Linked DNA regions of Caenorhabditis elegans. The protein of the gene in region 1 interacts with the protein of each later gene in a pairwise test. Each region holds a gene or a part of one and is shown on either strand. Other genes may lie near its edges.

What was found. Proteins that work in one complex are often made in the same cells at the same time.
Region 2: the proteins of W05B10.4 (region 1) and ras-1 interact in a two-hybrid assay, tested with the Caenorhabditis elegans proteins (one large-scale study listed by BioGRID).

What each region holds. Positions count from the first base shown.
Region 1 is NC_003283.11:12,665,644-12,671,635, reverse strand, and holds W05B10.4 (Ras-associating domain-containing protein), read right to left. Parts: upstream 3,411-5,992; 5' UTR 3,406-3,410; coding exon 3,330-3,405; intron 2,787-3,329; coding exon 2,650-2,786; intron 2,588-2,649; coding exon 2,033-2,587; 3' UTR 1,947-2,032; downstream 1-1,946. Other genes in the region: srx-116 (7TM GPCR serpentine receptor class x (Srx) domain-containing protein), read right to left, coding at 1-77, 121-178, 225-393, 444-604, 649-729.
Region 2 is NC_003280.10:12,345,050-12,353,747, forward strand, and holds ras-1 (R-RAS related), read right to left. Parts: upstream 7,177-8,698; 5' UTR 7,102-7,176; coding exon 6,985-7,101; intron 4,659-6,984; exon of another isoform or gene 4,587-4,658; intron 4,545-4,586; coding exon 4,457-4,544; intron 4,403-4,456; coding exon 4,300-4,402; intron 2,334-4,299; coding exon 2,225-2,333; exon of another isoform or gene 2,135-2,224; intron 1,333-2,134; exon of another isoform or gene 1,250-1,332; intron 1,149-1,249; coding exon 1,030-1,148; intron 902-1,029; exon of another isoform or gene 831-901; intron 764-830; coding exon 661-763; 3' UTR 238-660; downstream 1-237. Other genes in the region: C44C11.6 (Transcriptional regulator), read left to right, coding at 103-237.

The DNA of each region.
Region 1 (5,992 bases):
TCGTCTAACCGATGTGCACATACTTTCCTCAGGAAGCCATCCAATATATTGAAGGTTATACAAAAAATGACAGCCCTCTGAAAAAATAACGATTTTTCGTATTGTCCATTTCAAGCTTACCAGGAAAAAATGCAATAAATACAATAAATGCCAATGTAAGGCAAATTAGTATGCCAAACTGAAAATATTATTACATGAGTTTAACTCTAGAGTTTTACTTTTACACTGCTTGGTGCATAACGATAGTTTCTACTGTAAACGTGAGGAAAAAATACTGCAAATATCCGATTACTAGTCAGTAATACTTGCGAGAATGGCCCAATACACCAGGCAAACCATCCAACTAATTGACCCATAAAAGCATTGAACATGTGAGGCAAGAAATAATCATTTCTAAATTAAAAATCGATTTTCGATAAATTGAAAAATGTCTTGAAACTAACAGAAACGTAACTGGTACGGGCCAAATAAGATATCCAATGCATACAATACTATTACCAAAACTTTTCAAGCAACAAATCTTTAAAAATCCATCTTTTTTGTTGACTCGGAATATTATTGCGAATAGCACAATAATATTGAAAATTGTTCCCGTTATACTTGTCTGAAACTTTTTTCTGAATAAATTGCTGAAACTGAAATTTGTACCACGGTAAGCAGAATGGCTGCGACAATTCTTAAACTTGCCGTTGACTCCACTGTGAAAAATATGTCATCAATAATAGTCATGGCGATTGGATTTAGCTGAAAAGTTGGTGTGATCAATTAAAATGGAAAAAAAAGTAAATATTTGAAGGGCGATCGTCCAAATTGGAACAGACGAAAAAAAAATTAGCAGTTAGAAAACAGAAAGGTCTACTGTATTAAAAAAAAACATAAATGTTGAATTGATGATGAAACATCAATTAGATTCACATGGCTGTACTAACTCAAATTTTAAAATTCACTTTTTTCTTCAAATTCTAACTTCTAGAACAAGATTATTAAGATGTAGTAGTCATGGTCCAATTTACATGTGTTCCGCAGTTTTTTATCGGGGGTTTGCCATTTTTTGAACAACATTTAAAATTGAACTTGCCAAAGTTGTGAAACAGTTTTTAAAAAGAAAATGGGTTCGCTATTGGAAAATCGGTATAAAAGTCTCAAATTGCCCGAACGGTAAACGACAAGTTCAAAAATTAAAAAAAAAAACCGATGTTTAAAAAAATTGATAAAAAAATTAGTTTAAATATTCATACCTATTTCAAAACAATGTGAAACCATATTTTAAACAGAAATTTATATATCTTACTAAATACGTAATAGCTAACTTTCAGCTTTCGTAGAAAAATAAATATCTGAACTTTTTCTAACGTCTAGGTAAATTTGTTGTTAAAAATCAAATCATACGACCAACAGGAAATTGGAAATTTAATTACATATATTTCCAGACATCTGATTCTATAACAGTCTATCAAATATTGGAATGAATTCATCACAACGAAAAGGAACTTAATCTTACAAAACAAAAATCAGAAATAATATGTATGTTTTACTTGGGGTTTGTAGCTACAGCATATCACTTATTAGTTTTTGGTGTAACGCCAATAAAATTAGTTTAAGGTTCAAGAATCCAAGTTTTCTAAGAATAAATAAATTGGTTATACGAGGCACCTACTGCTGATCTACTAGATTAAAGACAATGTATGTTTTCTTGAGCATGTTTTCCGAAATGCCAGAATGCCAGGATGAGAAAACAATAATATCTTTTGATATTTCATTGCTCGGTTTAATAAAATTTTATTTGAGTTGATGAGAGATTTAAAACAAAAAATACTGATTTTTCGCCACTTTTTGAGAAATGTATACCACTATCGCGTTCAAATAACCTTTACCTTTTTTTAGTAGATTATAAAATTCGAAGGGAACTTTTTTTTGAACGACGATTTTCATTAAGAGACAAAGAGTTATTTAAAAAATGTTTATAAGATACCACGAATTTAAAGCATTAAATATAATACATATGTACCAATGTTCAGAGTACATGCAAAAATTAGAATACATCAACATTTCTGATAATGATTTTTTGATTCGGTTGACAAAGTCTTGCAATAGAAACTAATGAAACATCTTCTGGAATTTGAGCATCTCCTCCAGGTGTTGCTAAGAATAGTCCATACTTTGAGATATCATCATATTTTCGATTTAAGCCGAGAACAATATGAATAGCTTCAAGAACTGTTGTTTGAGATGAAAGGAGCAATGACTTGTAGTTAGATTGAGGAGAAATATTATGATCATGAACTCTGACGAGATATCCTGTTGGACTTTGAAGAAGTATGAAACGAGACATTCCGATTGGATGGCATCTTTGAAGTTCATATGGTCGAGATTCAGGATCCAGTTTTAGAAGTGTGACAACAGGAGCTCCCGAAGCTCTTGTTGTGAGCTCCATCCAAAGTTCGAACATGTTTATATCTCGGCAAGTGAGCTTGAGAGTTGTCAGAAATTTTTCAACGACTTGGCGTGCTGTTGTTGAATTAGTAACTCGGATTGTCTTGTAATCGGTACATTGTTTAACACTCCGCGTATCAACTTTTAGGACTCCCTGAAAATAGTCAAAATTATTGAATGATATATTTGAATGGTGCCTGATGTTTTTTTACTCACCACATCTGAAGAATCCGAAATATTACTATCAGTTGAGTTAAGGGAAAGAAGTGAATTGCTTCGAGAAGTTGTTGGAATCCCGAGAAGAGTATCATCAAGAAGAGAATGCATAGAAATTGAGCAAGGAGAGGATGAATCTAAAATTGAAAACAAAATTTTTTTGAAAAAGAATCAACTAAAATCTAGTTCAAACCTAAAACTTTATTTAATAGGTTTGATGTTTGCAAGCGATCTTCGGAAGATCAAATTTTGAAAGCTCAATTGTTTGAGTTTCGTTCGAAAAAGTAAACTTGATCTCATCGATTTCATTGAGTACTGTAGAAACGTAAAACATCCGAGAAAAAATGTTAAATTTAAATTTCTTGTGTAAACTATTGGAAATGATTCTAGTAGAAGTTAATAAAGTTTTGTAAATCTTCTTAGTGTTACGTAAAAGTATTTAATACCCAAAAATCTATTATCATGGGAATTAATTAGTCATTGTAGGTAATTCAATCTCTCATTTAAGATCCTATAGGATTTTACATTACTGAAAAGTTTAATCACTTAAAAAGGGTTCAAGCGTCTGGAAACGCAGTCAAATATTATTCATTCATATCAAATAGAAATTATGAACATATTTTACGAAATATAAGTGCAACACTTCAAGTAGGTCTCGAGTTTAATCAAAAAAAACTCACTTGACGAAGACGTTCTCGATGCCCGATTGGCAGGCCGCAACGTCAAAGTGGACGATTTCACTTGGTACTTGAGCATTTTTTCTGAAACAAAAAAAACCGTATAATTCAATAATGTTAGCCTTGTATAAGAAAATAGTACAAAGGTATGTACATACGAACAGGAAAAGCGAAAAAGAGGAAAAGTATGAAGATATGGGTGCGGTAGTTGGCAATACACAAAACGGGTAAACGATATGGGTGTGTGAGTGAGTGTGAATGACCGTTTTCAAACGAAGAAAAGTATTTGATCAAGCCGTAGCCTGGAGAGAGGAAAATGGAGATATTATCAGTGATTTGGCACGCGGTGTCCGGGAATGTGGATAAAGAGAAAATCATTAATATATTTGTTTTATTTGTTCTTTCTTTATTCACCGACTTGCGTTCGCATTCAATTGGATCACTAATGAGGAAATGAGGAATATATTATGGATAATATAAGGATATCATTACATATAATGGTAGCGGAAGAAGAAAGAAAAATGATAGTTCCGAGGCAAGAGTCAATCAACTGGTTCCTACGGTCGGAGATTGCTATTTAGATTTGATTGGTGTTATCAGACACGTAAGACGAGTAAAATACAAGTACAATACTATCATCAAATTAGTTGCCAAAAAAGATGAAATGTTTATCAAAAAGTTGTACAACTGTAATGGACCGGAAGTTAGCAATTGAATCTTGGAGGATCATTTGAAATACAAAAAAGATGATAGGTCTCGAGAAAGTTGTCGGAAATACTATCAGATGGAACATGGACTAAAGATTCATTTTTCTGAATGTGGCCTGTAAAGTGTGGGATTTTTAGTCCTAAACTTTTTTGTAAAGTACCTGTAGTAGAAAATTACGAGAAGTGCAAGAAAAAACCAACAAAAAACCCAAAAAAACATAATTTGGGCCGAGCATAACATTGATTTTTCTTGAGTTTGTCACTTTTAAGGTTGCCTTTAAAAGTCTAACAGTGAAAACTTTTTTGAGTTTTTGCATTGAAAATTGTATTGAAATTTTTGCATTGAATCCAACAAAGAAATTTACTTAAAAAAACAAAAAACATTGTCTGAATTTGTCTAAAATCTGGTTTTTTGTCAAAAAATAATTTCAAAAGTTTTGGTATGGGAAGAAAACAGTCAGACGTATTTTCAAGAGCCTAATTTTTTCGATTTTCTACAATTGTCGTGGGCAACTCAATTTTTATTGTTTATTTATTATCGTCGTTAATATTGCAGCTGTCTGTCCTTTCAATGGATCTAGCTCTGAAGAAAAATTAAATATTGTCGTTTAAAGTGAAATTGAAGTTTCTGGATTTTCTAACCAATAGTTGTACAAACTAGCGTTTCGAAAACCCAAATGTTGCTTCCACGACATTATTCACCTTGAAACACTTTTTTTCGATTTTAACTTTGGCGATACTTCTTCCATTAAACAAAAAGTGGGCGGAACATTGAGAGTTTCAATTAATTTTTGGCATACTATTCTCCCTCATGCCCACATTCCTTGATCTATCCGCCTGATTCGATTAGAGACGAGTTGATGTACAGAATCAATATGAAAAAACACTAGGGAAAAGTCTGAAGGGATTCAAAAAACAAAAAAAATGAAGAAACTGAAGGTAGAAGTACTTATGAGAAGTGAAATCGGATAAGCTGGAAATAATCGAAGGCGCCGTTTTTAAGAAGGTGACAGTGAATAATCCCAGAAGAAAAAAGGAGTTTTTTGGGGCTTCGTCTGGGTTACGCAATGAAGAACGATGCAAAATGTTGAAGCATGATTTTAGAATGAAAAACTTGCAAAAATATGCAACAATTTTTTTAATGATTCATAAATGGATTAAAATCTATACACTTTGAATATGAAAACTATTCAATTTACAATTAGAATAAAACTTTCGAATAAATAAAAAAAACAAGCTGACCCCATCAACTTAAAAACTAAAACCGACTCCCTGTCTCATATCTCATATATGTGCCTACTGTCCTAATAACCGTGCAGGAAATAAGCGTCGGTAGGCATGAGGCAGGCACTCACTGAAGACGATTTTGCCTACCATGAAAGTTCCAATTTTGCTAGTATTATTGGAAACTTATTTCAAATGGGGTCTTCAATTTTAAAAGTTGTGCAATTTTATATGAAAAGGTGCGGAAGTGATCATGTTCACATTATTCTATTTTGGAAAAAAAGGCTACCAAATGACGATATTAGGAAGCCTTTCTGGAAGTGCAATGTATTTGAATTTCCGGTGCTCAAGAGTTAGAGATATATTGGTTACATTAATATATTATAGAGTGTGATAATATTGAAATTCAAAAGGAGCTTCTTATAGAAAATTTGCAAGATGTTGGCCATGTTTAAAAATGACATCTTGGTTTCAAAGGGTACATTCACAAAACGATACCAATCCGGTATAGATTTTACAAAAACCCGTCACTGACACAAATCCATTTACATTCTCAGTGCCAAATCAGTGTCCGCGTGACCGGACAACTATAGAGCGAAACGGTTTGGAAACGAGATAAAAAAGTTTTTCGTAAAAGGAAATTGAAATGTTTATGAGGCATAATGAGATTGAATTGGAGGTCCTGTTTTTGGAAGAATACTGCTTCTTTTGAGCTATTGGCCTTGGCAGGTGTCG
Region 2 (8,698 bases), on another chromosome or scaffold:
AGCACCGCAAAAAATTGTCGGCATGGCTCAGTGGGTAACGAGCTTGACTTGCAAACAGAAGGCCACTGGTTCGAGTCCTTGAACTGAAGTAAACATTTTCAGATCGGAAAATCTCGATCGAGAAGTGCAAGTCGCGAGAAGGTGCTCAAAGACTCGGCCGTACAAGCTTCACCATCATCCCGTGAAGCCGTCCAAGTCGTCAAGGCAATCGCCCAACCAGTCGTCGAACAAAAATAAATATTCTCACGTTTTTTATTACTCTAAAAGAAAATGGGTTCACAGGGCTATCAGTAGAGCGCATATCAGATTTTTGGTCGAAATTTGAGAGAGATTTGTACTCGGGATAACGGGCACAACGGGTAGGGTGGTAGGATATGGAATAAATATTTTGTTGGAACTGTACAAGAAGGGGCTAGAATCAGAGGAAAAAAAAACATTTTAAAAGCAATAGAAAACCAAAGAAATCCCGTTTTGAAGTGGAGAGAAGGAGTTTAAAGGCAGCAAGTTAAAAATTTTCAGAAGAGGGTGCAGTATATCGTATGAAAGTCATGAAGGATTGACTCTCCGGTTCGACTATTCACATTTTTTGAAGGTTTTTGAAGTATCTTCCAATGTTGAATGTCGTATCGGACTGGAATAGATTAATTGAGTTTCTGGAGTTTATTGAATCCTGCAATTCTTTTTCTTCTTCAGCTTGATCGGTGATTCGAGCTTCCGATCGTCATGGGGGTGGATGGGCATGCGCTCGTCATGTTGGTATTTTCTGAAATTTCGAGATTTTAAGTATGAAATTCAAACTCAGCGCGTTGAAAAACCTATAAACCTATAAACGACCTCGAGAACTCGAACCTGTGACCTTCTGCTTAGCAGCCAAACCTCTTACCCACTGAGCCACGCACGCAAAAGTTTCATCTGAAACTCGAGCATGGCTCAGTCGGTAAGAGGATGGGGTTTGAGACAAAGGGTCGCGGGTTCGAGCCCGCTAGCCCCAGTTGGGGATTTTTAATTAATTTTTTTCAAATTTCTTACCTGACTAATCTCACAATATCAAAAAACGCTTCATCAACATTTTTTCGAATTTTTGCCGAGCACTCCAAATATGGTATTGAGAGTCGGTGTGCGAGCTCCTCGGCTTCATGTCGGGCTACCTGAAATTCGAGGTTTTATTCGATAATTTTTTATGGGAAATTTAACATATTCAGTGTAAAAAACCTAATAGCCATTCTGGGGGGTCGAACCGTGACCTTTTGCTCCAAAGGCAAGCCTCTTACCGGCTGAGCTATGCAGCGCAGCGCGCATGGCTCAGCCGGTAAGTGGCTCGCCACTGAATCCGAAGCCATGGATTCGAGCCCAAAAAACTCTGCTTAAATTTTAAAATTTTAAAACTTTAAAACCCCTTCAATGCGAAATCCGACACAGATGTTTTGAATTGCAAACGTTTTTCGTGAGACTCACACACACATATGTTTCGAGTGTTTTGTGCATGTTTCAATGTTTCAAGTGCTCTCTTGAAAGTTCTAAAGACACCCTCCAATATTTGTTTTCGATAAAAAATATATGTTGAATTACATAAAAGTATATATTGACACAGTTGGCACTAGTTTTGAGGTCAAACTAAATTGTAGAGGTTTTTTGAGCGATTTCGGTAGTTGAAATTTGAACTTTACACGTTGAAAAACATATATGCCACTTCAAGGGCTCGAACCTGTGACCTTTTGCTTGCCAGTCAAGCTTCTTACCCACTGAGCCATGCGCTGCAAATTGCTGTGTTTTAGGGTGTGCGCGTGGCTCAATCGGTAAGAAGGTGGGCTGTGAAGAAATAGGTCGCTGGTTCGACCCCGCGCACGCAATTTTCTTTTTTGTATAGTTTTTAGGCTCAAAAAATCTTCAAAGGAGTAAAAACTCTCGTTTCAAAAAAAATTTCTATACTACTTCGTACACATGTCAGGTGGAATCCCATAACTCCTTTTCTTTTTTCGGAAACCCTATTTCCGCCGATTTTTTGCCTCCGATCCCCATTTTTCTCAATCAACTTCTTGTGCTCTCCGAGCAAAAAGCAAAAAGCTGGAGAGGAAGAGTGTCGTGCGCGTTTGGCAGTGAAAAATGTTGCGATTTTTATGGCCTTGGGTATGGGTCAAATCGGAGCTAATGGGTACTTGGAACATCTTGTTGGGAAGTTGAGCAAATTTTTGAAAATTTTTTTGAAAAAATTTTCAAAACTTACGTGTCTCTCATTTTCCAAATCTGCTTTATTGCCCACTAGTATAATTGGAAAATCATCTCGATCCTTGATTCGGCATATTAATTCGTGTAGCTTTTTGACCTCTTCGAAACTGGAAAAATTATGGAGTTAAAATGTTTTTCAACAAGTTTTTCTAAAATTTGGTAGCACGACTTAAAACGGCCATATCTTGGCAGACAAATTAGATATTTGAGAAATTTAAAATAACATTGTAGAAAATTTTATGAGCAATATTTTGTCAGTTTACAAATTTCAAATAACGTGACTACCTACAGAGATATGCACCTTTAAAGTATTTCTGTGAAATATTCCCTAACCCAACACTTTTTCAAAAAAAAAATTCTCCCAAACAGATGACTAGAAAGAGGCGCTCATAAAACCGATTAACCTATCATAAAATGAGTCATTTGATATTCCGCTTTTAGTAGTATATTTTTCGAGTGTTCCAAGGTCAGTTCTGTTCTCTTGGAACAAAATTATATAGTTCCCGCGCGCGGGGGTTTTATGACCAAATTTATTAAAAGACGGGTGACTGGTGGCGGTAGCGTTTTTGATGTTTTTCTGAGGAATTGTTGGGCAGCCGACATCTTACAGGTTTGTGAGATGTCGGCAGCTGTACAAAGCTAGAGCAGCCGACACCTCACTGGTCCAGACAAAAAATTGGGAGGGGGAGCGCGAGATGTCCGGTGCTAACTTTCGGAGTTTAATGAAGAAAATGGTTATGCCATTTTTACTGTTTTTTTTTTAAATAAATATATCGCAGCCGACACCTCGCAGGTACTGCAAAACTTTGGCAGAACTTTGTTAGCCCGCGGGATGTCATCTGCTACAGAACTTGCCAAAAACCGATTTTTTTTTCCAAAAATTATTGGAGCGCTCCCTAATTTGTTCCCTTCACCCATATCCCGCTCGTTCATAGCTTTAGACCAATATATTCTGGGTTCTTGAGATCTAAGTGTCAACAACTGAAAAAAGAAGATGTGTTGCGGGTAGGGAGCAGAAGCCGTCGTGCCGGCACGCCAACAGCGTAAACATAATATTTTATTTCGGGGGGCGCCTGTTTTTTGTGGTGGTGGTGTTGATGGTGAATGACGAGTACACAAAAGTTCCCGAAGGCGCAACGGGGTCCAGCCGAAATTTAAAGGCGCATAAAATTTGAATTCCAATAGGAAACAGTGGAATGATGAACTGCCCCGTGACCCCTACACCCGGATGCTCTCTCCCGCTGCTTTTTGAGAAATGTATGGGACCATTAATCATATGGCTTCAATGTTTCAAAAGCATGATTTTTGGCACACAAAGGAACCATTGGGGAAGGCTATAGCGTGCCTACCTACCTAAGTGCCTGCCAGACTACATAACTGCCTACCAACGTGCCTAGAGGACTTCCTACATGCCTACTTTCCTGCTTGGCCCAAGCCTGCTTACAAAATTGGCTACCTACCTACGTACCTACCAACTAACGTGCTTACCGATCTTCCTGCATGCCTACGAGTCTGCCTGCCTATCTACCTACATGCCTGTTTGCCTGCCTATCTACCTACCCGCCTGCCTGCCTAAGCTGCCTAATTTGTGTGCGCCTATCTACTTATATGCCTGCCTACTTACGTACCCGTCTACCTACCTGCCGGTCTTATATGTGGCAGGCGTAGGCCGCCTTAAAAGCAGCCTAAGGCCTCATTCTCCATCCCCCAACCTCATGCTTTTCGCATGTATGTTTTTCGAAAAATGTCATCATTATTGAGGGAATGTTTGCTGCCTCCTTTGCCTGCGCGGCATGTCTTCTTTCTTTTGGCCAAATAGATGCTATGAACTTAGGATTTAGATGTCACTTGTGAGATAGTACGGGATTCGTGGAGACCCAGAGACGCAGAGATTGAACGGGAGTTTATCGGAGCGCGAACGCCGTGCGCGCGAAGAGCATCCTCAAACATTGGAGCAAGGAGGCCAGGTCGGAGGACAAAATTATGAAAATTTTGGCAATTAAGAAAATATTTAGCATTTCATTCTCGCATTAAAAATTTTTCTACAATTTTTTCACCCAAAAAAAAACTCACCTATTCCTGTCAGTAACTGCAAACACAATTAAAAAACCGCTCCCCGTTCGCAAATACTGCTCTCGCATCGTGGAAAACTCCTCCTGTCCAGCAGTGTCAAGGACTGAAAATTTTAAACAAAATTAGGTCCTGAAAAGAAAACTCAGAAAGAACTTACTTTCCAGTTTGCAAAGATCCTCGTCGACGAAACATTGTTTGGTGTAGGAGTCTTCGATCGTCGGGTCGTAGTCCTGCACAAAGTACCTCTGAAACAAAGGGCATTGAATCTTCCAAAGCATTGAAACTAAAAGCTTCCGGGGATCCGAACCCGGGACCTTTTGCTTCATAGCCCAACCGCTTACCGACTGAGCCACGACGCCTAGCTCAGTCGGTAAGCCTGCTGGTTTCCAAGCAGAAGGTCCCAGGTTCGACCCCCATTGAGGTTTCTAAAGCCGCTGATTTCGAATTTTCAAGTCCCAATATCCCATTTCCCGAGCCGTTCCCACCAAACTTCAAGAGCTGCTCCCCTCCCTCTCGACTCTGTGTGTGTGCTCGAGAAAACGGTACTAGTATATACACATGTGTGAAAAAGGGGACACACACACAAACACAAAAGTAGTACTGTGTTTTCCATCTCTCTCTCTCCCAAAAGTTTTTTCCCCTCCTTTTTTCGACAAGAACGACAAGACACTCACATGAGACTCACGCCTTTGCGCTCACCCTCGTACAAACATTGAAAAAGGATTATTTTCGGGAAGAAAACGGAGCGACGAAGAGGCAAAAGCTTACAAAAGGTCGCGAGATGGGAAGAGAAAGAAGAACTATAGGGCGAGATAGGACAACGTGTAATTTGAGAGCACACTTTTTTCCGTCTAAATTTAAAGGTGTGGAATGATCATTACAGGCCTAAAAATAGAAAAAGTAAGATCCCCAAAAAAAAATTGTTCGCCGTTTTCAATGACTCAGGTAGTTTCACTCTCTTACTCCTTCCGTGAAGTCATGACTGCATTTCGTACAAATTTTTTTCGTATTCCCTTTTATGCGGAACGAAATTTTTTTCTCCTCTCTCCTGATCTGTTGCAATATGCAGTGTTCTTTGTGATTTTATTGAGGAAAGCGGTGAACGTGTTATTGGGGAGATAGTGAGAGACGCAGGAAAACATTAGAGGATCAAAGTAGAACATATTACCCAATAACTCGATGCACCATATCGCAGAGCCCATGAACCATAAAACTAGGGGCTTGTAAATTGACAACACTAATTGCTCGTTTATCAAAGAACGTTGAAAGCGTGGGTGTGCGGAAAATTTGCCGAATTTGCTGCACAAGCCACAAATTGAACAAAAACTTTGACCGAAATTATTCTTTTTTGTTCCAGAAATTCTAGTGAAATAACATAAAATTGAATTATTTCGAATTTTATACGAAAAATCTGACGTGTGCTAAGAATTCAGTAATTTTGGTGCTCTAAAAATTATAAAAAAATATCTACCACTACAGTACCTCTACAGTACCCCTACAGTACCTCTACAGTACCCCTACAGTACCCCCTACAGTACCCCTAATGCCACCCAGTTGTCTGTAAACCTATAAAAATCAATGTCACTTCTTAACCTACCTAACTCATTATCATGTTACCGCCTGGCTGCTGCTGCTGCCATTCGCGCACACACCTTTTCTCTGTCAGCCTAAAGAGACCCCCTAATCATCTTTTGTTTGTACCCCCTATTTCTTTTGTATCTCTCTCTGTATGTATGTATGTTTGGGGCCGTGTGTATGTGTGTGGTCGAATTGAATCGTGAATTGGATTCAGAGACAAGAAGACGTGAAGGTCATCACACTAACAAAACCACAATAAATGTTAACATAAATTATGGGAACAACATTTTTTGGAGGAGGATCCCGGGAAATTTGAAAAAAAAATTATGCGCAAATTGATTAAGTATAGAAATGAAAAATGCCCATAAATTCAAACTCCATCAAAAAAAAAGTAAAAATTTTAATTTACAAAGTTTTGGAAAATACCTAAAATATAATACTTGAAGTTCTAGACAACTTCCAAAAATTCAAAAATTTTTTTTTTAATTTTAACTTTTTAAAATTAGTTTTTAGACTTTTTTTTAAAATTTAGATTTTCCAATCAAAGACCCTTTAAAAAAAGTTTTGAATTTAATTAAAATTAAACTATTTTAAATAATCTATTAAAAAGCAATTCTGCTTTTCGATTTTTCAAAAAAAAAAAAAACAATTTTTTTTTTGAAACTCAAGATTTCCCCTAAGTTTGCCAGGCCATATCTCAGTTCTCTTAAGTTTTATTAAAAAATTTTCAACTAACAAAATATTAATTTTTTAATTTTCTATAATTTTGAATCTAAAGATTTACTTTTATCTTGAAAATTAACAAAGATATGGGTGCCGAACCTGGTTGAGTTTATTTTGTCTACTACACCGAGCTTGCTCAACTTTGACAATTGATATCTCAGTTCTTTCATTAGTTATCAAAAATATTTTCACTAGAGCAGTATTATTCATTTAATTTTCTATAATTTTGTAGTTAAAAGTTTATTTTTATCTTAAAAATGAACAAAGTTATGGGCTGTCAAATCTGGTTGGATTTATTTTTTATCCCTTTCTACCACTTCTACCCCCATTTCCACATTTTAAAAATATTTTTTCAACTTAAAAATATAAAAAAATAAAACAAACCTGTATAAACTGTATGGTCAACGCCGATTTCCCGACACCTCCACCGCCGACGACAACGATTCGGAGCACTGCATTTTGTTGGGCGGCTGTGGTGGCTGAGTTGCTCCGGCCGCCCATCGGTAGTTTTTTTTTGGACAAAGATAAAAATTTGGGACAAAACTTTGAAGAAGTTGAAGAGACGACCGACGAACTGCAAAAAAAAACCTTTTTATTTCTTATCATTTCTTTCATTTTTCATCAGCTGATAAGAGATCAAGAGGCGCAGAGGGAAAAAGAAAAAAAAAACGGTTTTTGTTCCAAAAAAATTTTTTTGAAATTTTTTTTCGAGGAGAAAAGTCAGGGAGAAAAAGCCGAAAAGTCGGTGGGGGCAAACACATGCCCGAGGGAAAAGGGGCGGGGTTTCGAAGGGACGCAGACGGTCAAAATGGATGAAGCTCCGCCCTAGTTTTGTGGGGAGTTGGAGGATGAGAGGAATAGATGGTGAGATGAAATTCTGAAACTGAAAAAAAAAGAAAAAAACCCTCTTTTCCTGGATTTTAAGAATTAAATTTTGTAAAAACTTTTGTGATTTTTTTATTTTGGAAAAAAAAACTTCAAACAATGAATTTGTTATCACATCGATTATTTTAAGTTCTATAAAATAGAGGATTAAATTTTAAAAATTAGAAAAAAATTGATTTTTAAATTTTTTTTTTGAATTTCGGAAAATTTTTTATTTTTTGATTTTTGCGTAATTTTTGTTTCTAAATACTGTAGATTTTTCAATATATATTTCAGAGTAAAAAAAATTATTTTGAAATAATACAGAAAAAGTCGAAAGTAAAAAAATTTATTATTGGAATTATTTTAAATTCCTTAAATTTTTTCTTATAGTTCAAAATTCTCAGACACAAATAAAAAAAATATAAATAAATTTAAAACTAAAGAACTTTAATTTATTTATTAAAAAAATGCCAAAATCAGAGTTCAAAAATCTACAACTCAAGTAAAAAATTTGCCAACAACCTATAAAGAATTGCAAAATTTTTCAGAGAAATAAAAGAAAAAATCCAGCAGATCACAAAAAAAAAGAACAGGAAGCTTCTAGAGAGAAAGAGACGCAGAGAAGCAAAAAAAAGGATCTGACATGTGTTCCCCGTGAGTAATTACTGTTGTTGCCATGAAGTGAAAATTCAAAATAGTCACACTACAATTATTTTCAAATGTATATATATTTTTTTCTGTCGAGGATGAGGTGTCAATCATGGGAATAATAAAACTAGAATTGTGAAACAAAGTGACGAATTTTGAAAAAAAAATTCTCGAATTTCTGTAATGCAATTTTCTATGTTTTTATGATTTTTTTTTTGAATTTCGCCTATTTTTTTGCTCTAAATGACAGGAAATATACTGCAATAAGCTGTTGAAAATTAAAAAAAATTTCTAAACTAATTATGATTTTTCAATTTTGCGAAAATCAAAGAAACGGTCGTTGAACTCTCGCGCAAGTGAGTGACATATACATACACCTATACCTATGCCTATACCTATACCTATACCTATACCTATACCTATACCTATACCTATACCTATACCTATACCTATACCTATACCTATACCTATACCTATACCTATACCTATACCTATACCTATACCTACACCTATACCTATACCTATACCTATACCTATACCTATACCTATACCTAAACCTATATCTATGCCTGCCTGTGGTGAG